Linked DNA regions of Tamandua tetradactyla. The protein of the gene in region 3 interacts with the protein of the main gene of each other region in a biochemical or structural test. Links are inferred from orthologs where the notes say so. Each region holds a gene or a part of one and is shown on either strand. Other genes may lie near its edges.

What was found.
Region 1: the proteins of PSMD2 (region 3) and UBE3C form a complex in vitro, tested with the Homo sapiens proteins (2 studies listed by BioGRID). The link is inferred for Tamandua tetradactyla from reciprocal best matches to the Homo sapiens genes PSMD2 and UBE3C.
Region 2: the proteins of PSMD2 (region 3) and UBLCP1 form a complex in vitro, tested with the Homo sapiens proteins (3 studies listed by BioGRID). The link is inferred for Tamandua tetradactyla from reciprocal best matches to the Homo sapiens genes PSMD2 and UBLCP1.

The regions. Positions count from the first base shown.
Region 1 is NC_135327.1:203,137,027-203,144,718, reverse strand, and holds the start of UBE3C (ubiquitin-protein ligase E3C), read right to left. Parts: upstream 3,046-7,692; 5' UTR 2,892-3,045; coding exon of another isoform or gene 2,880-2,891; 5' UTR 2,559-2,879; coding exon 2,493-2,558; intron 1-2,492. UniProt on the Homo sapiens protein: E3 ubiquitin-protein ligase that specifically catalyzes 'Lys-29'- and 'Lys-48'-linked polyubiquitin chains.
Region 2 is NC_135346.1:40,523,456-40,530,845, forward strand, and holds the start of UBLCP1 (ubiquitin-like domain-containing CTD phosphatase 1), read left to right. Parts: upstream 1-4,363; 5' UTR 4,364-4,722; intron 4,723-7,390. UniProt on the Homo sapiens protein: Dephosphorylates 26S nuclear proteasomes, thereby decreasing their proteolytic activity. Recruited to the 19S regulatory particle of the 26S proteasome through its interaction with 19S component PSMD2/RPN1.
Region 3 is NC_135336.1:2,646,131-2,653,378, reverse strand, and holds the start of PSMD2 (26S proteasome non-ATPase regulatory subunit 2), read right to left. Parts: upstream 3,017-7,248; 5' UTR 2,954-3,016; coding exon 2,819-2,953; intron 2,415-2,818; coding exon 2,358-2,414; intron 1,974-2,357; coding exon 1,809-1,973; intron 537-1,808; coding exon 415-536; intron 228-414; coding exon 3-227; intron 1-2. UniProt on the Homo sapiens protein: Component of the 26S proteasome, a multiprotein complex involved in the ATP-dependent degradation of ubiquitinated proteins.

The DNA.
Region 1 (7,692 bases), on a different chromosome or scaffold from region 3:
GACTGGAGAACTACCCTTGGCTGAGGGTCAAGAAATACACACTCCCACCCTCTACCTATTCTCACAGGGGCGCAATGACTGGAGACAATGACTAAGTGATAAGGGAGTACAAAATGGCCACCACCCTCTAGCCTCAAAAGAGAACATGGGATACCAGCCATGCCACGTGGAATCAGGCTCAAGTTAGACTGCAGCTGAGAAGATACAGTCTTAGCTTTTCTCCAGCCCTATCCTGCTTCCCTCACTCCCTTTTCCTCCTTCAACATCCACTCACACAAGAATCTCATCAGACTCTTCCCCTAGGAAACCTAAGATTTGTATAATTAATATCTGCCTATTGAGTTTATATATGTAAGTTTATATCTCAATAAAAAGTAAAAGAAAAAATGTTTCCTTTGCACAATTAAAAAGCAAATGTTTAATCTCCCCTTGAAATACTGATCAACAAACAACTGCTCTGCTCAGAATTACTTGGTGAAAAAGGATCAACATCAGTATTAGGGAATGCTGGAGGCAATTCTGTCTGTAATAGAAGTCACAAGGTCTACACAAATGAAGTGACATGGATTCTAAATTGGTAAACTGCCACTAACTTGCTGTATGAATGTGCAATTACTCAATTTTCTTGGTATTTCATGGGCCAAACTTGTAAAACTAGGAGATTTGGCCCTGAAGTTCTCTAAAGTCCCTTCCAAGTACAAAAATTCTTGGATTTTATGTCAATCTCAGTCACTCCTACCCACAAACCCTGCCACCGGCACAATACCCCCTTACCACCACCTCTACTTTCCACACCTTTCCAATTCTATCTTTCTGGTTTGGCTAAGAGGCACAACGGTGGATCACATTTGAAGATCCCAATCCTATCATACAAAAGCTCAAAGCCTGAAAATGATCAGCACATTTCCCTCCCAACTCCCTCCCACGGTTTCCTTCCTCTACCCCCCAGAAATCAACATCACACATACATCCTCATAGTACACATTTTTTTAAAAGTATGTTCCTATGTGGACTTGATCATCACTCACAGTTGTATTTATTAGACTCAAGTTATAATAAGCAAATGCATTTTAAAGAACACTTAAAATTCTTTAGAAAACAGGCAGCTTAAATGGATTCAATTAAACTCTTTAAACACTCCATCTGTAGGACCACATTTTAAGTTTTATCTGGTAAAACTGAAACAGAGGCAGAAGAGGGATTCATGAGTCAGAACAGTGGAGAAGTTTGGAGAACAAAAGACTGAAGCAATGTCAACACCAATGCTAAAGTATTTATTAACAATTCCAATGAATCAACAGATACCACTCATCACAGGAGGTTAGCTAGAAATTCCAGAAAGGGAGGACAGCAGAGTAATCATTTTGTCTACCCTCATGCTAAACAGTTATCATAAGAGCAATTACATGACCAGTCAAATAGGAAAAAGTCCTAAAGTCTCTCAAGAAATATGTACCATGAAGCCTGGTAAAGAATAATGCTCAATATTCTGTCAGTCAAACTAGTGGCTAATTATGAGGGGTTCTGCCTTAATTTTAGGGAGTACTGATCTTAAAATATATATTAGCTATTTACTATCTACAACAGAAAATATTCTTTGGGCAATATTTCAAAAGCAATCACTATTTGGTGGCAAATGAGATAAAGTTCATTTCTGAAAAGAAAGATTCTGCTCCTTGACCCTACCGCAAGAAGAAAAGAATAACTTCATCTTTAGTATGAACAGAAATTACTGGTGATTCTAACATACAAGACCTTTCCTTCACTAGCCCTTCTTTCAAGATCTGTCTAAAACACCCCCCCACACACACGTGTAAAATTCTACCAAGCTCTTTCCGTATCCTTATTGATGTACCCTACCAGTTTCGCCTCATTAAGAGATGTAAACAGCTCTTTGCCTATGATGACCAAAGTGAAACCATTACTGGCCAATTTCAGGAAGTGACTTCTTACCAATCGCGCTGCTACTGGAAACCTTTTCGGTCATTTCTCCCATCTAGTTTTTTATAATGTCTCACTGTCCCAGCGCTACCCAAAATAGGAATTCCAGCAGAGCCGCCTCGAAATTATTTATTTTAAAGCATTCTCAAACAGCAGCACGCTAGCGGTTGCCTCGATTTGCTAGATGCCGACTTTTAAGGTCGGACTTAAAACTTAGAAGCGAAAGAAAAGAGCTCTTCCTCCACACCAACAATTCAAGCTTCACCGCCCCGAGGACCCAGGGGGTCGCAAACATTTTGCCCCAAATTGTCGGCTACAACCACCCTCTGGGTGGGGCGCGAGTCCCTGGTGTTCGCGTATGCGGTGGGAGAGCGCATCGATTGGAAATAGCCTTATTCTAGGAACACCCCACCTGCCAAAACACGATTCCGAAGACCAAAGCGCCCAGAAAGCTGACTCTGCTAACAAAAAAGATGTGCTTCCTTCCTCGGAAGATTTTTCAGAACATATATACTATATGTATACATTATACAAAAAGGCTGGTCTCTTACCTTCCTACTTGCTCCTCCAAGGGACACCTTGGGCCTGGTTTTGAAATCCCCTTCAAAACTAAACATCTTTACAGCTTATCCCATCTAGGAGGAGATCCCTAAATACAGCCAGGAGCCCACCGGGGAGGGGCGGAAAGGATCCCGCGGGGGGTGGGGGGGGGAGGAGAGGCGCAGGGAGCGTGACACCGCCGCCCTAGCCCCGGGCACTGAACAGGACGACGTCGGCTGCCGCGGCTGCTGCTGGAGGAGAAACGATCCCGTGCCTGAAACCTCCCTTCCCACGGTGGCTCTGCCCTCCCAGCCTCTGCCCTCTGGGATGAGTAGGGGGCGGCCGAGGAGACTATAAGGACGGGGACGATGACACTGGAGGATGCGGCTCTTCCTCACCTCCCCCCTCATTCAAAGTCTCCCCCACTGTTCGCCGCCGAGGCCAAGGGGCGCCCGGAAAAATGGCAAGTGACTCCCGCACTTGCACTAGGAAGCAGCCGTCTTAGGAAAGAAGATGGCCGCCGACTGCAGTTCCCGTCCGCGGTCCCGCGCCCGGGCGAGCGAGTGAGCGCGCCCCCGCCATCGATGACTCCGGCGATCCTCTCGGTGCACAGGCCTAAGGGATGGCCTGCCGGGGCCGCGCCTCTGCCGGAGCCCCGCCCTAAGCGTGCGCGCCCTCGCGAGACGTGCCTGCAGGCTGGGAATCTTACCCGGGTGACCTCCCAGGCTCATTTCACCTTACTCGGCCGTAGGAGGTAGGAGAGATGCCACTGCATTTCTCACCTTCTAGGGCATGCAGATCTCTTCTCGGATTTGCACCGCATCTTGGAGTGTCTGATTGAAGTTGTATTCAACGAGCTCTACGCTGAAGAACTTGGAGCCTACTCTGCCCTCCAAAACAGGGCTCCAAGGACAAGAATGAGTGGATGAGAGTCAGTGGCTTCCTGAAACTCTGCAATTGTGTGCGGAATTTTGTGCATTTTTCTGGGAAGTGGATTCATAGCGATCAATATGATGCCAAACTTAATTTGAGATGAAGATAATCTAATACTCTTTTTAATTAAATATTCTAATAAACAGCACGATTCTCTTATTAATTATTAGAATATTTAGACACACAGAGGTGAACTAGTCTAGTGAAAAGGGCAACCTTGGGCCTCGATTTCGGTCCCAGCTCTGCCACTTACCAACCATGTCACGTCTTTGCTTTTACATTTACTCTCCATAAAATGAGGGCAGTAATATCTCTGCTGTCCACCTAGACCTTTGTGTGGATGAAATTATCCCCAAATGTCCTTTTAAAAAGTTTAGGGTGATGCGATGGTGGCTCAGTGGCGGAGTTCTCGCCTGCCGTTCCAGAGACACGGGTTCGGTTCCTGGTGCCTGCCCATGTTTAAAAAAAAATTGTTTTTAAGTACACTGTGCTTTATCAGTAGAAGGCATTTAATTTTTCTTTTTCATCCAGTTGTGCTGAAGCAAAAGCTGCATCCTCAGACTGTCAATGTCACTCAGCACTTGGAATATTATGAGGGTTTTCCAAAGATAGGTCTCCTTTTTGAAGTGAACTCAAGTGGGTATCTAGTGTGTTAATTAGAATAACTAATAATAATCACATGGCTATTATAATTAAAAAGTTGTATATGCAATAAAGTTTTAATTCCTAAATCTTGTGCCTACTTGCAGTGTAGTAGATGCTCAAAAAATATTTGTTGAATGTATGAGTAAGTGAATTAATGCATTTTCCTGTTGATTCTCATACAATCTTAAAGACAGGGTAGGGTTTAGGGTTTCTGTTAAAGTTATATGAACCCTGAACTTCAATGAAAAAAAACAGAAAATCTCAGTTATCAGTTTATTTCAAACTAGTTTGAACTGAATCCATTATTTGAATATAAGGCGGATTCAGGTAGTCTAGTAGTTTACAAAATGCAATAAAAATGTATCAACTTCCCTAAAAAGTTATCACAGAAATAACAATCAAAGCGCTTAGTAATAGTAAACATCAGGTGCTCCAGTTGAAACTAAGAAACTTTTAAAATAACCTTGGGGGTTAAATGTATTATACTAGTAATGCATGTTCATAGAAAAATCAGGCATGAAGATAAGTACAATGAAGACTATAGAAATCACTCAAAATGCCACCACTAACTCAAAAACAAAAGAACAAACAACCCAATTATAAAATAGGCTAAAGAAATGAATAGGCATTTTTCTGAAGAGCAAATATAGATGGCTCAAAAGCATGTGAAGAGATGTTCATTTCGTTAGCTATAAGAAAAAAGCAGATCAAGACTACAATGAGATACCACCTCACACCTATAAGAATGGCAGCTGTTAAACAAACAGGAAACTACAGATGTTGGAGAGAATGTGGAGAAATTGGGACACTTATCCACTGCTGGCAGGAATGCATAATGGTACAGGCGCTGTGGAAGACAGTTTGGTGGTTCCTTAGGCAACTAAATATCAAGTTGCACTATGACCAGGCAATAGCACTACTCAGTATATACCCAGAAGAGCTGAAAGTGGCACAAACACACATTTGCACACAGCATTATTCACAATTGCCAAGAGATGGAAACAATCCAAATGCCCATCAACAGTCGAGTGGATTTTATAAAGATATAACATTTACAATGTGACTGTGTGATTGTGAAAACCTTGTGTCTGATTCTTATATCCAGGGTATGGACAGATGGGTAAAAGTATGGATGTAAATAAATAAATAATAGGGCAGACAAAGCATAAAATAAATTGGGTAGATGGAAACACTGGTGGTCAATGAGAGGGAGGGGTAAGGTGTATGGTATGTATGAGTATTTTCTTTTTATTTTTTTTCTGTAGTTATGCAATGTTCTAAAAAATTATCAGGGTGTTGAATACACAACTGTGTGATGATATTGTAAGCCATAGATTGTTGCACTATGTATAGAAAGAATGTGTGAAGATTTCTCAATAAAATTAAAAATAAAAAAATATGAGTGACTTAACAAAATGTGGTGTACACATATGATGGACTAGTATGCAGCAGTAAGATGAAATGATGTCCTGAAGCACATGACAAGATGGATGAACTTTGAGGACATAATGCTGAGTGAATAAACCAGACACAAAAGGATAGATACTGTGTGACTCATATGTTTATGACCATGGTAAAGGAAAATCAGAGGCTTATAATACAGACTATAGGGGGCTTAGAGATGCATAGAAGCTAGAAATGGGTGAATGGTTAGCTAATGAGGTTGAACTCAAATGTGAGGGAATAGATAGACGTGAAGATGGTTCTCTAGTGGATCTATAAAATTATCATACTGAAGGTGAACATGATTGAAAGGGGTTGTATAGACCTACGTGTCCTACTGATTAACAATAAAAAAAATAATAAGTTCTTGCAAGAACTATTTCAAAGTGATGATTCATGTACAAAGAGTGTTTAAGTCCAGGGCACAGGAGGAAAACTGCTACTGCTATTGCATGCTATGGGCGATGTTTAACAGGAAAACATCAGCAATACCACAGTAACACCAGGGGAAGTTATTGCGGGAAGGGACAAGAGTTAAGGGGAGGTTTAGATTTCCTATTTGGTGAGGGTGTGTTTATTGGTAATCTTTCTCTTAGGAACAATGAAGCTATCTAAAGTTGAGAGTGCTGATGGATTGTGGGCTTTGGACAGTGTTCTAGCTTGCTAATTGCCGGAATGCAACACACAAGAGCAGATTGGCTTTTTAAGGGGATTTATTTTGTTAGTTCTTCAGAGGAAAGGCAGCTAACTTTCAACTAAGGTTCTTTCTTACGTGAGAAGGCACAGGGTCATCTCTGCTGGCCTTCTCTCCAGGCCTCTGGGTTCCAACAGCTTTCCCCAGGGTGATTTCTTTCTGCGTTGCCAAAGGCCTGAGCTGAGCAAGTGCCGAGATGAGGTATGCTCAGCTGCTTGAGCTGTGTTACATTGAGTGCTCTCATTTAAGCACCAGCCAATTAAATCAAACATCATTCATTACAGCAGGCATGCCTCTTAGCTGACTGCAGATGTAATGAGCAACAGATGAGTTCACATATCATTAGCTCATGTCCACAGCAACAGAACTAGGTACTTTCACCAGGCCAAGTTGACAAGTAACTCTAACTACCACAGACAGTATACATAATGTCTAATGAATGCAGGTGGCTGAAGGATGCACTGCCTGAGAAGTAGATTGGCCAATGATGGTGTTTACATATGATGGAATACTGTGCTGCTACAAAAAGAAACAAAGTCATGAGGCATGCAACATTGTGAATGAACCTGTGGGACATTTGGTGAAGCAAAATAAACCAGAAACAAAAGAGCAATTAGTCTCCTTTAGAAAATGCTTATAAGAAAACAGAGTCCTGGATTGTAAGCTCTTATAGCACATTTAGTCTGGAGTGGTAATTATTGTTTCTGGATTTTAAGAGGCTCTTTTATATATGGCCCTGGTGCCATGGTATCGACAATGCCATCCTGACCAAAAGGGAGAAAAGAAGTGTAACAAATAAGGTATCAGTGGCTGAGAGAGTTCAAATAGAGTGGAGAGGCTACACTGGAGGTCATTGTTACATACTCTTCAGTTAGACATTGCTACCTATCATAATCTGCCAACCCCCAACCCAAACCATTCCAGCCAATCTTAAAGAACACCTAGGACAATATATAAGATTCTGCAAAGGTCCCATGCACTAGGGTAATTTTCCAGAAGCCTAAAACCTCCAGTTGGGTTCCTGGACAAGACAAGTCCTCAAACCTAGAGGGCCCAGCCTCTCCAGTACATCAACTAGATCACTACCTCCCTACCCCATATTATTGATGGCCCCTTCCAATATGAAAAATTAGAATGGGCATGGCCCAAATACTCCTAAAGAGTGGGATAGAAAGATCAAAGGTAATAGTGGAGTTGCACAGAGAAGGTAGGGTTTAACAAACGAGTATGATTGCTGAATCATTATATTGATATTTCTTTTAGTTTCCAGTATCTTAGAGCAGCTAGAAGTAAAAGCTTAAAATGGTGGAATTGCAACCCGTACCAAACTCTGAAATCTGTTCTACAACTAACTGTTATGCTGTGCTTTGAAATTTGGTGCTTTTTTGTATATACATTACTTTTCACAAAAAAGGAAAAAGGTTGATTGTGATGATAAAAAAATATTTATTCTTTCTAGCCTCCAATGTTTTGGAGCAGCTAGAAGGAAAAATCTG
Region 2 (7,390 bases), on a different chromosome or scaffold from region 3:
TTGTCTTGATTCTAGTGGTAGTGACACAAATCTACAGTGTAAAAATGGCATAGAACTACACACACATGCACATCATACCAAAATCAGTTCCTTCATTTGATACTGTACTATAGTTATATAAGATGTAATCAATGGGAAAAAGTGGGTAAAGGGTACAGAGGGGAAACCCTCCTGTGAGTCTAAAATTATTTTAAAATAAAGTTTTAAGAAAACCCCATATAAACTATATATACATATAAAGCATAGAAAAAATTTTCAAGGATAAAAGCTATCAGTAGTAAGGATATGAGTATATTATTTCAATTCCTCAAAAATAATACTTCATGGATTTCTTATATAATTCAAAAGTAAAAAAGTAGTGCGAAATCATTGTAAAAACTCAAATATAGAAGATATAAAGAAGGTAAAAATCACCTGTTAAATGATGCTATCCAGAGGTAAACTTCATTCCTTCAACAAATATTTATTGAAGGTGTCCTGTGATGACATCAACTATGGGCATCTCGGTATATGTGATTTCAGACCTTTTCTATGTATCCAATCATATCCACATTTGTAAAGGAATAATTAATTAACTTTATGTACTATTATATAATTTGCTTTCATTATTTAAAAACATTTTTTTAATTCCCTTATTCATCACTTATTTATTACCTACCTTAGCCAGCCTCATATTCGGCTCTGAGATTAAAATCCTGACTTAATCAGATATGGGCAGTTTCCTCACAAAACTTACAGTATAATGGGGAACAGGGTAATTAAAGAATGAATCTCTCAAAGAAATACACAATTACAGATTACATCAAGTTTAGACAACTATAAACAATATTCTGAAATACTCAACTGTGCAAGGATAGGGTGACAGCTAGGGTGGGGAGATACCATGGCATGTTTATTATTGATGGGAATGAGCCAGTAAAGAGAAAGGAAGTAAAAAAGAACAAGAAAGGGGATACTGAATTCACAGAAAGGTTTGGAGGAGGATGTCAGAGCATAAGTATAGGGGTTGGATTCAAGTAGAAGCAAACTGCCTCAATTGTAACAGATGCAAAAGAAGCAAGGATGAGTACAGATATAGGTTGGTTTGTAGATTTAGAGGTTGAAGTTGAGGCAGTTACTATTTGAAGTCTTCTATTTTCTTAGCAAAACAGGGGGCAATGTTATCTGCTAGGAGCAAAAATGTAAACTAGAAGGTCTGAGGTATGAAGAGAGTGGAGGTTTTGAGTAGCCATTTTGGAAAAACAAGTGGGATAGAGAAAGGCAGTGAAATTGCCAAAGTGAGTTAAGGGCCTGAAGAGATCTGTTTTGCTGGGCACATTCTTTTCAACCATCCTCAGCTCCCTTACTGCAGGCAAGGCCAAAGCAAGAAAGGAGGTATTAAAGAGAGAAACTAAGTGCTATACTGAAGAGGGGGAGGTTTTGTCTTACAACTGGGAAGAGAGGGAAATGTTTATGAGGGAAATAGATCTGCTTTGCTCAAGGGTGGGCAGTGGCCAGAGGAAGAAAATGACCTTGGAAAGAAAAGGTTAAGAAAACCAGTCTGAGGGAAATAGAGATAAAACTGGGGTAGAAGTAGATTTCTGGCCCAGGTGCAAACATGTCCTTTTGTCTTCCTAACCAAACATAATCATTGTGATATTAGCAGATTATCGTCTGATTTTGTGATTAGTTCTATATAGTCTCTAGGACCTGACAATTTATCTAAACTTGAGGGATGATTTTCCAGGCATCTTTAGCTGCTGAGGAGGTATATGAATGAGGTATGGTGTATTTTCCTCCATGTATTAGAAGAGAGGCTCAAGGGAGCAACAAAAGCAAGGAAGCAGAAGCTTAATTTTCTTACAAGGGAGCAACAGAAGCAAGGAAGCAGAAGCTTAGTTTTCTTACTGGCAATTTCCAGTTCCTCTGAGTCTTTCCCTAGGTCCAGATTGCATTTATAACCAGTTTCACTAAGTGTCCAATTTCCTTGTTCAAACAAATACCTGGCAATCCACAGCAAATGTTTCCTTACTTAATGCTTTTAAAAAATTTTTAACTTTATTTTTATTTTGGGTCTATTTATTACAGAATTGGCATTACACTAATACAATCATTGCTAAATAGTAATAATATATTTATCCTATAATTGCACATAATTTTATTTACTGAAGGAATGTCTTTTACCCTCAAGATCCTCAATTTTCAGAATTGAAACATTTTAACTGAAACACTGAAAAGCTAAAGTTGCTGCAAGGCATAGGATTAAAACACCTAAAGATAGTTGGTTATATTGTCAAGAGTGCAGCTATGAAAAACTGGAGCTCAGGGGCCAGACTCCTTGGGTTCAAATCCTGCCTTCCCCACTGACAAGCAGTGTGACCCTGATTTCCCCATCTGTACAATGGAGGGATAAGCGTGCCTACGCCTCAGCAGGTATCAGACTATGGCTAAGAATGGTTTTTAGATTTTTAAAAACAAAGATGACTATGTGACCCACAAATCCTAAAATCTTTATTCTCTGGCCCTGCTGTAGAGTGGCTGTAAGGATTATGGCCAGTTCAGGTTGGCTGGTGCCTAGTTCCAAATAAGCACTCAATACATGTTAACAATTAATGTTTCCAAAAATCCACTGTCACATAGCCAAATTCTGCATTTTGAAAAGTGAACGTTTCCTCCTTCTTTTCAAAAACAATATAAAAAACTGCCAAGAACTACATCTTGATTATTATGGCCCTAAGACAAATTTAACAGATACTGGTAGTCCAATTTTACTTACTTGGAATATGCACTAAGGAAAATAAACACTTCCCCTTTATAGGAAAGGGCCTGAGATGGTAGAAAAAACCTGGAAACATGGATGCTTGACTCATTTTAATATGTTAAGAAAGATCAAAACATTTAAAAATTAGAACATGATTTAAGTAGATAAAATGTAAATCTGATTTAACAGTATTTGATGTTTTTCTCCATAAAACATACACAAAGTCTAAATGTACTTCAAAATGAAAATCTATTCAAGGCCCAGGTAGAAACAACATAAAGCTAGCTTTTGAAAACCTAATTAGATAGATGAATAATACCCTCAAATGAGACTCCTGGCAAAACTAGTTTGATTATTAGGTATACTAATTTCAGACACAATTGACGTCTCAACCGAGGCAATATTTCCCAAGGTATATCTTGAGACACTGGTCCTGCCAAGACGCTGTGTGTATGTTTTTTCAGGGGGTTCTAGGTTCTAGCAGTTAGGAAAACATGGCACACTTTATTCTTATCTTAGAAAGTCACAATGCACAACAGTATAACAAAGGTTTTGAAACATAAACAATGTTTTTTTTATTTTTTGAATGTTCAGCTAAATGGCAATGGATTTGAAGGAACTGAGACATGGGCATAAAATAACTTGAAGTCACCTGTTAGATATTTGTCCAAAATACTATACTACTCCTTCATCTCAGAGAAATACTACTCTTAAGCACTTGGCAACTCTACTAATGCCTAAAATATCAGATCCCTTGTAACATGGCTATTTTATTAGCTAAAAAATTCTTAGTGATGCTTTACCAAGTTTTAGTTGATCTCGTGATTAAGCTTCCCTAATCACAAGTGTAAAAATACAAAGTAGCCAAAACAATTACTTAGCAGACGAACAAAGCAAGGAAAAGAGATTGGGCTAAAGAAAGCCATGATTCATTCCGAACACAAGTCTCTCGTGTTTTGACAGTCTCTTTGGCCAGATTGCTAACGTGATTTTTGCACAAACTATATTACTTTAGGTTTCCTCTTCATTTCCTTTTTAAAACCTGTTTTATTTGGTGCCATATACACCAATCTAATGGAAAATAGTTTTTTTGTTTGTTTTGCTTAGCAGCAAGTGGTACACTTTGGGAATTTGCTTATGGACCTACTGGAGACTGCTCCGAATTTCCATTATAGTCTGAAGTTCTTTTGCCAGGGTCTCTAATTGGTTTTTCTTGAATTCAGAGAGAAGATGGAATGGAAACAGGGATAGGAGGGTGGAGATACAATACAATATTGTATTATAGTAATTCGAGCGCACCTCTCATATTGAATCTGCTTCTTTGACTCTGAGTCACTTAAGCTTGCCGGTTCCCTTGCCCCACGCTCTAGAGTTTCCCTTTGTAAAACTGGTAGAACCCAAAACACCTGAAATTACTAGTATTGGCGGGCCCTGAGGCCAGTGAGGGAACTTAAAGTCTCCAGTGCTCAAAAGTCACCTGTATCGTGTCACATTTGGAACACGATACAGCCAGCCACACGAGTCCTAGTCCGGCGTCCCACGAAGATCTCAGAACACCTGGAGAAGCCAACGGACCACGCCTGAAACGGCTCGAATTTCGGCGAAACAATACATAAAACGTCACTACCACCAAGCACCCGCCTCTCTCAGCCCCCGAAGAATAGCAGGCGCAGGCGCCGAGTCGGCGCGGTCCAACGGTCCCTCCGGTATTGCCGGCAGCTACACAGCGGTCACATCCTGGAAAAGTCTGGCTTCCTATTTATCGTCGTGGAGATCCCAGAAGCAGAAACTATCTTGGATTAGCACCCAAACAAAAACAAGGGAACCGCCCTTGCATTCCACGGTCCAGCGGTTTCTCTCTCCAACCACTAACTTCCGGTTCGTCTTAGCCGGTTCCGGTCCCCGTTCTTCACTTCCGGTCGCCTTCAATTCCGCTGCGGCCGGTTCCTGCGTCCTCTGCGGCCGATTCTGCCGCGCTCCAGGTGAGGGGACCGAGGTACCCCGGCGCGCTGCTCTTGAGGCGCTGTTGGGGCTGGGGAGCTACTCCTTTCGCTGTGTGGCCCCAGCTGTGGCGTGTCCCGGCAGACTGGGGTCCGATTCTGGGTGCCCCGGGCCGCGTTTGCTTTAGTCCGTCACCCAGACGGCTGGCACGGCCAGCTCGTCGTGGGGCTGCCGCCCTCGCATCCGGGCTTCTCGCTTGTGTCGGGGGCTTCCCGCCCTCCCATAGATTCTGTGTCACAAGACTTTATTTCTTTCACTTCTCGGGTTTCTCCATCTCTTCACCCTGTTGGAGGTATCCATGCTCTCTGTACTCCTGGGGTCTCTACCTGCCTTCTGACGCTTCCTCGTGCTCCTCCTCAGTTTGCACAACTCTTGCGACTGTACCACCCCGCAGTTGCTGCTTCTGTGCTCTCCTGGCCAGGAGTTGACAGTACTTTACAGTTAGCTTTTACTAGGCTTTTGGAAAAGGAGACTCCTTCCCGTCGTTTCCTAAGATGTTCCTTTTTCTGCTATTACGGTCAAATTTCTTCCTCTGCTACGTTCTATTTCTGTGATCTTGGGCATCTTATTTAACTTCCTTTTCAGTTTTCTGGTCTGTAAAATGAGAACAATGGTTGTTAATTTAGGATTCTGAAAATTAAGTTGTTTAGCATGCTCTCATTCTACCACCTCCATTCGTATAGCTCTTTACAGTTTATAAAGGGCTGTCAAACCTGTTATTTCAAGCCTCCCACTAGTTCTTGTCAAGTAAATATTAATATCCTCATCTTGGGGATGAGAAGAGGTAGGAATTGACTAGGCAAAGTCGTTACGTGTGACTTTGAAGAGGAACTGGAACGTAAACGGCTGTTTCTTGACTCTAGCTTTACCATAAAGATGTGCTCCCGTAAGAAGTAAGCCTGGGTGGTTTACTTATTTAAGTTTGGTTGCCCCCACCTTGCAAATCATTTTTTTTAAGTTTGTAAGTCTGATGTTCAAAATGACACAAAATACTAGAATAGTGAGGAAGAACGTTAAATGTGAAGACAACATAAAATGACATAACATTTGTCTTGTGCTGCTCCGTTGGTGTAAATGGTCCGACTATTGAAGAAATGAGGTCAGTGACTTTTTGAAAAAGGCATTTAAAAGGTTTGTTTTGTTATGATTGGTCCTTGCAATCAGTTACCGGTTTAAAATGTCCACTTGTGGTATAAATGATTTATAATATTTGTATACTGCTTAACCAAGCATATAGATTCCATGCCATCTGGCACCTTTTCTTTTATAATGCTGAGAAAACTGAAGAGCCTAGAGTCATATCTCTCAAACTTGAACATGCATCAGAATCATCTATAGGGCTTGTTAAAATACAAATTATAGGTCCTGTCCCCCCATCCCCAGTTATATTTTTAGCAAGTTCCCAGGTCACATCAATGCTCCTGGTCCACTTTTTTTTTTTTCTTTATGTGGGCAGGCACCGGGAATCGAACCCGGGTACTCGGGCTTGGCAGGCAAGCATTCTTACCTGCTGAGCCACCGTGGCCTGCCCACGTGGCCCACATTTTGAGAATTGCTGGCCTAGAGGTGAAATGACTTAGGTGCTCTTTAAACTCTGTTGTACTCATCGCACAATATGCTGTATTAGTGCTGCATTCCTAGCTCCTAGAAATTATCATTTTTATTCCTACCTCTTAAAAAAAAAAAAGTAAACCATATTCCACTCTGACTCAGAAGGTTCATATGGCTTGTTATTGAAGATCATAACATTTGCTAGAGCAGTGTATTCTGTGTATTCTGTGAAATGGAATACATTGCTCTAAATTACCACAATTCCTTTGAATTTCCATAGCAGATTTTAAACATAAGTGAGTTAATATAAATGAATTTGTGTGCCTTCTTCTAAAGGGACACGTTGAAGATAAATTGCCAAATATTTTTGCATATTGAGAGTCAAAATTTGCTCTTTTGCAAATGGTTATAATACGTGAAGAGTGCTTCATTAACTAAATTAAAGCATTTGGAAATGCCAATACTTCGAGATTAGAAAATCCATTTCTCCAACCTGAGAGAGAACAAGCTTATGGAAATTGGTAGAAAACTTTTTGGAGGAAGAGACCTCCATTGTATTGCTAAGAGGAGCAGTTGCTATATAATCTTTGTATGCTTAAATCTGTAGGACTGTGAGTTTTGTATTTACTAACCTTTGATGCCTTAATTCCTGTAGGTCCAATCCAAGAGAGATAGTTGTGGTGTGGGTGAAGAAACATGAGATTTAGTTAGAAGACCTGTTTCTTTTACTAGCTGTGTGCCCATGAGCAGATTACATAGCCTCTCTGAACTCATTTCTTTAATTGTAAAAGGGAAAACTTATCTCACAGATTTATTGAGAGGATTAAATGAGGTTGTGTAAAAGCTATGCAATTCATAAAATATGAAACAAATGATGGCTATTTACTGTTAACCACAGAACATAATTAGTTTTCTTTTAATTTTATTTTTTTAAATTTAACCAGAGTACTTTGTTTAAATATGCCTATGGTTAAGTTAAAATATCCATTGTTTGTGGTTCTAAGTGTATTGTTTGTTTTCTTAAATAAAAAAAAACAGCAAAAAAATTGAACCAGTATTTTATAGTGTTTACTATGTGCCAGTTACTATGTGATTTAT
Region 3 (7,248 bases):
ACCTGGTGAGATACAGGCAGACCTTTGCATATGCATTCTCGTCAATGTCCTTCTCCAGCATATCTACCTGCTCAATTTCCATGAGCAGGTCACAAGCTTCATGCTCTGCATTGTGGGCCATATTGTAGGGGACGATCTCCTTCACCAGGGTCAGCAGTGGCTCCCGCTGTGCCTTCTCCGCCTCATCCAGCTCCTGCCACTCCTTAGCCACTTCTCCTGCCAGATGCCTATGGATAGGCCCAGACCATTAAGGGAACCCAACTTCACAGGAAGCTCTTCCCTATAGGTCAAGGAATTCAGTTTCTGAGAAACTCGATACACTGCTACACTAAGACAGGTGGTAAGTAATCCAAGCCAGATGTCAGAATTATACTTCAGACTTCCCCCTCAGATTCCCAAGAAGAAAGGCCTTACCTGACGTACTCATGACCCCATGATGCCAATTCCTCCTGGGAGCCCACCAGCCGATACTTGAGGCACTCACGCTCCCCACTCATGGTCATGGCCAAAACAGAGATAATGTCAGCTGCAAAACGCTATAAAAAGAACAGACCTTTGAAGTCAAATCCTACAGTCCAGATTAAGGGGAGCCTGACATTATGGAATAAAGATCAATGTCACTTGTTCCCCAAATTAAGTGTGAACCATATACCAGACTCTGCGCTAGAAACTTACTTATGTTATCTAAGCTAAGCTTCACAATAACCCTTTTAAACCAACTTGACTGAAAGGTGGTAAACCAAAGGGAGTGGAGAAAGAAACTCTGGATTTTATCCTCATTGTAATAGTAAGCTTTTAGAAAGTTTTAAGCAGAAGAGACACACAATCTAGAAGATAGCTATAATAGTAGTATGAAGAAAAGACTATGTAGGAGGTCAAGGACAAAGGCAAGGCCAGTTGGGAGGCTGCTGCAGTGGTTCAGGAAACTAAGGCTGTACCAACAGATGGAGAAGTGACTCAACTAGGAGGAGCATATTTTTGAGATAGAACAAGAGAAATGAAAACATGTCCACACAGAAACTTGTACATTAATGTTTACAGCAGCAAATAGCAAAAGGTGGAAACAACCCAAACGTTCATCAGCCGACAGATGGATAAACAAAATGTGGTATAGCCATACAAGGGAACATTATTCAATCACAAAAAGGACTGAAGTGCAGATACACGCTACAACATAGATGAACCCTGAAAACATGCTAAGTGAAAGAAGTCAATCACAAAAAGGACTGAAGTGCAGATACATGCTACAACATAGATGAACCCTGAAAACATGCTAAGTGAAAGAAGTCAATCACAAAAAGACCACATGTTATGTGATTCCATTCATACAAAATGTCCAGATTAGGTAAATCTACAGAGACAGAAAGTAGATTAGCAGATGCCTAAATCTGGAGGGGAAGGGGATGGAGAATAAGGGGCTAACTGTTAAAGCATATGGGGTTTCTTTTGGGGATGATGAAAATGTTACAAAATTGACTTTGGTGATAGCTGCATATATCTATCAACATAGTGGAAAGCATTGAATTGTACTGCAAATGGATGAAATGTAACCTATTTCAATAAAGCTGTTTTTTGTTGTTGCTGTTAAAAAAAAAAAGATCACGCTAAAGGTCCAACATGAAGGACAGAAACAACGTTTACTGAGAAGTTAATTCTTTCAGTTCTCATGTGGGTATTTTTACTGTGATGAGCTCTATTCAACCAGCTCAGGTCTCAGGTCTATCCGGCTTCCAAGAACTCACCATAAGACCAATGGCCTGAATGAGAAGAACTTCCTAAACTAGAGCTTCTACCAATTTCTGAAATACCTTATTCTCTCCTGGGGCCATGTTTTCATAGATTTCCTTCAGTTTGCCATAGTGTGGTCGAAGAAATTTGAGAGGTTTGGGTACTGAAGTCATGGAAGTTGTAGAAGAACGAATCTGCCTCCGCAGTTCCTCCAGGGCTGGTCGGTACAGCGATGTGTCCTTTTCCTGATCAGAAGATGTTAGGATTCAGACAAAAAGGTGTCGTAATCCTGCCAACTCATAATACAGAGGTGTTAAAACCCTGATTCCGCTAGGTAAGTAACTGTGTCTCATTTATCTATGATTCCCCAACTCCCTGCACACTGACTGGCCCCCAAAAAACTGACGCCAGGTAGAGTTCAAGAACTCTGCTTCTCCCATAAGAGAAAGCTACAAATTCTTTCAATATCCTTTGCAACTCTACTCCCTCATAAAATCATAACACTGACCCTAAAATACAGTCCCTCTTTCTCCATACTTCACACAGGGTTCCTTGTCTAAAAATGGAATAAGGCAAACAAGTGGGAAAGATCCAAATATGCATCCGCTCAGGTTAACATCATGACTCACCCCTAGTCGTTCCACGAGCATCTCCAGTTCATCCTGTAGTTGTCTGTCCTCCTCAGACTGGAGGATTGAGGGAAGAAGCTCATTAAGACAAGGAATCTCAAACACATCCTCCTCATATTCACCCTGGGGCTGGTGGAGCGAGCCTGCCTCTTTAGGAGGAACCAGGGGGACAAGGAAACAGAGTGGGAATGGGAAGCCGTGCTGGGAAGGGGGCCTGGTTCTGGGCCAGGCTCTGCCTGAATGCCGTTCTTTGAAGGTGGGTGACAATGTCGACCCTTTCTCGCGAGGCGGTCGTGAGCGCTGGTGGGAAGTACGGAGGTACCAGCGCGGCGTGCAGAAGGGGCTGAGAGGTAGGGTGCCGGGAGCCCCAGCGGGGCCGTTGGGAATCGGGACGGAGGCCTGCGGAGCCGCCGTGACTCAGCCCGCGGCCTTGTCCGCTGGCTCCCCGGGCCGTGCCTCACCAGTTCCTGCTCTTTGTCCTTTTCCCCAGCATCCCGCCGCTCCTTGCCGCTCGGCTTCTCATCCGCGCCACCCGGGGCTGTGGCTGGGGGCTGCTGGGACTGCACCGGCAACTTGTCACGGCCTCCGTCCTCCATCGCTCAGCAGCCGGAGCGCGCCACTTGCGCGCGCACCCACCCAGACCGCCGCGTTTCCCAGGCGGCCTCGCGCTCGTCGCGCACGGCGCCCGCCTGCGACCGGAAACGCCCGGCGAGCCGGCAGCTGGCGTTGGCCCGCCCCCCCCCCCCCCCGCCTGAGAGCACCGAGCGCGGAGGCTGCTGGGAAACGACCTTTCCCAGCACCCCCGAGCGCGGAGGCTGCTGGGAAACGTCACAGACACCGCCCGGGTGCCTGCCTGCGACGGGAAGCCCCCGGCTCATCGGGGGCGCGTCGGTTCGCAGCTCCTCCCTACGCCTGAGAGCCCCGGGCGCAGAGGCTACGTGGAAACGACCTTTCCCAGCTCCCCGCGCGTCCGGGAAGCAGTCCTGGCGCCGTCTCGAGTTCCCCGGCGTGGTAGGACTGTGCGCTGGAGTTTGGGTGCGCTTTGCTGCTGTCGCCGAATGAGCTGCAAGCTGAGATGCCGAGCTTCCTTTGCCCACATTTCCTCATAACAATGTGACTGGTAACTATAGTGAAACCACGGCTGGCTGCGTGGTGCCGCACACGGACAAGACTCTTGAAATCCGGGGCGCTTGATTGTCATGCACATAAGGTCTGCGCAATATATATCTAGCCCGACACTACTGTGGAATCTTAACCTGTAACATCTCCCTCCTTTTCCTCTCCCTTCCCCAGATGAAGGAAGTGCACTACTAGTACCTTGACGATGTAGCTGCCAGTTTAAATGCTTTGGGAAACTAGGTGGAGTGGAACTTAATAAAAAATAAAGTTCTATATTCCAGCGTTAATACTGGAGCTAAAAGCGGAATAGGCAGTCTTTGCTCTCAGGCTGCCTTTTGGCCTGCCTCCTCCCTGTTGAGTTAGGACGGGTGTGACCGACACTCTTGTCTGGACGGCTTTCAAATGAGCACGTGTAGGTAGTTAGTCTCGCAATCTTTTTTGGGGGGGCAGGGGTGCGTGGGTGGAAGTGCATGGGCTGGGAATCCAGCCCTGCTCTCCCGCATGGAAAGTGAGAATTCAACCACTGAGCAACCCTTGCACCCCGCCTCTGACAATCCTTTGAAATTGATATAGGTGTGTCCTCTTTGCAGAGGAAAGTAAGGCTCAGAAATGAAATAACTCAGACATCACAAAGAAAGTAGTAGAATCAGGATCTGAACCTCCATCTTGCAGCGTTTTAGTTCCTTAATAGTTCTAGACAAACGATAAAGAGTCTTCTTTGGCCTGGGCCTCGTGTGTGTGTGTGTGTGTGTGTCCCCTTCATCTAGTAGGAACACTTACATTTTGGCCTCAAGACTTATGGGTTCTGATGCATTAAAGAATGCAGAAAATGTCTGTAAGAAGACATCTAGCCCGGCATAGTTAGCACTGAATGAATGAATGTATAGTTATAAATGTAAAGGTCTGAAGCCCACTGGAAAAACCCATTGTTCTTTTCCACTCGGTGCTTGGATTCTAGGAATGTTCTTCCATTTCCATTGCCAGTGGCTCCCGCAGCATTGCTCTGTTCACAGAAGTTGGGTAGTTTATAGCTGTTCTGCTTATTCCGTCTCTGTCTTCAGGATATCCACACATTTTTATGTAGAGGGATTCTCCCACATCTTTTTCCAAGGTTTCCTTCTGTTGGTTTTTAAATTTTTCCTATAAACCAGTCATATCCCAACCAGTATCTTAGAGAAGATGGAGTGATCTGTCAAAAAGCACAGGCTGTACTTAAAATTAGGCCTAAGAGAACCTCTTGTTGCTCAGATGTGGCCTCTCTCTTTCTCAGCCAACGCAAGCAAACTCACTGCCCTCCCTCCTCTACATGAGATATGACTCCCAGGGATGTGGACCTTCCTGGCAACGTGGGACAGAAATCCTAGAATGAGCTGGGACTCAGCGCAAGGGATTGAGAAAAACTTCTTGACCAAAAGGGGGAAGAGAGAAATGAGACAAAATAAAGTGTCAATGGCTGAGAGTTTCCAAATAGAGTTGAGAGGTTATCCTGGAGATTATTCTTACACATTAGATAGATACCACCTTTTTAGTTAAGGCATAACGGAGAGGTTGGAGGGAACTCCCTGAAAATGTAGAGCTGTGATCCAGTAGCCATGTTTCTTGAAGATGATTGTATAATGCTGTAGCTTTTGCAGTGTGACTGTGTGATTGTGAAAACCTTGTGTCTGATGCTTCTTTTATCTACCTTATGGACAGATGAGTAAAACATATGGATTAAAAATAAACAAATAATAGGGGGAACAAATGTTAAATTTAGTAGATTGAAATGCTAGTGATAATGAAAGGGAGGGGTAAGGGGTATGGTATGTATGAATTTTTTTTCTGTTTTCTTTTTATTTTTTCTGAATTGATGCAAATGTTCTAAGAAATGATAATTATGATAAATACACAACTATGTGATAAAGAATGTTCATATTGTAAGTTGACTGGTTTTATTAATAAAAATTTTAAAAAGGCACAGGCTGTTAACAGTCAGTGAATCTGTATAAAGAGTATATGAATGTTCTTTTTACCATGTTTTAACTTTTCTGTAGGTTTGGAATGTTTCAAAATTAAAAAAAAAAAGGCAGGGGGGACGACTGGGAGAACAAAAGCTTTAGAGACAGTTGCACTTGGTGTCTAAAACCAAATTCCACCATTAACCAGTTGTAAAACAGGTAAGATACCTAACATTTCTCTACCTGGTTTCTGCCTCTGTAAACATGGATAATAAACTATCTTCCTCATAGGTTGCTATGAGAATGAAATGATACAATGTATACAAAGTGCCTTTCTGGGTTTCTGACATTCAGGAATGAGACAGTTGTCATTTTATTTTGCAACATCCTCAAATCTGTAGGGCTGGGGTAAATGTTCTTGTCCCCTGCTCCCCACCTCCAAGCACTCAATCCCCTAGCTTCTCTAGCCAAATGCAAATGCTTGACAGTTATTTTCAGGGCTCCATGATACGTGTAGGTCTTCTCTCGCTTCCCATTGAGGTCCTGCTTTAAGCTGCATTTCTGCCAAACTCCCAGCCTTCTGGCCAAACTGCTGTCCTCCAATCATGAGCCAGCCCATCACTGGCCCCTTCCTACTGCTTTCTTTTAAATTGCATCCACAAGCCTTCCATGCGTCCCCCAAATTCATGGCCTCAGTTGTACAGTTACACATCTTTTGGATAGCTCTACTCATATCTGAGAACCATTTAACTAAGTCGTAGCCACATCACACCAGAAATGCTCCTGGCAGGGCACAGCATTTCGCTGTTTCTACTGGGTTGCTGCTTTCTTTGTTATATTATTCAAACAACCAGATTGCATTGTGGCCCTTATATTAATTTCCATGACTAACAGCAGATTCTGCAATCCCCCCTTTTTCATACCTGCCATAAGTACTACACTTCTCTGAATGCTTATCTCTTACCATGCCCCTTTCACCCACCCACCTCTGATCATGCCAAACATTTTACCGTCTTTGGGCATGCACTGCCTGTTCAAGCTGATCAGTTTTTTCATGTTGCTGTTCCTTCTGTGTGAAATGCCCTTTGTTGTTTTCAGCTAGCCAGCTCTCCTATTCTTTAAACTTCAGCACAATGCCATCTATCTAGATGTCATCTGGCCTTACCAGACAAAGTTAGTCATTTCCTCTCTATTATTCCACCATGCTTGGTACATACCTCTCCCAGCCTAGCCTGAGCTCCTGCAGGACAGGCACTGTGTCTTATTTATCTTTGTGTCCCCAGCACCGAAACTAATGCCAAATATTTGTTAAATGAATGAATGAATGGTTTGGTATTCATCTTCAGATCATCTTTGTGTATAATAATAGTAGCCTACTGGTAGCTCTCTTTGGAGCTTAGAGCTGGGCACTGGGAAATTGTTTTCAGGATTCTCCACTTGTGAGTCATCATTGAAACTGTGCTTATTTTATGGGGGGGGGGGGGGGGGGGGCGACTCTCTTCCAGTCTGATATTTCCATAGTGCTCCCAAGCATGAAATCACACTGTTTGGTCTATGTTACCTTATTGTGCTTGGGAATTAGTCAAACTTCCCAGTGGGCCAGCACAGGATATGGTATAGAACTTCACCAATAATTGCTCTCGTGTCTACCCAGGAGCATCATCCTTTACTTCTTCTGCCTCGACACACTGGAGCTTATCACAGATACGTACTTGCCAGACTGTCAAGGCTGCTGAGGGTGAAGGTTACATCTGTCACCTGATGTTCACCTTACCTTGCCCCTGGAACTAAGCAACTTCAGAGTGCTCAGTAAATAGGAGCTACCTGGCTTACTT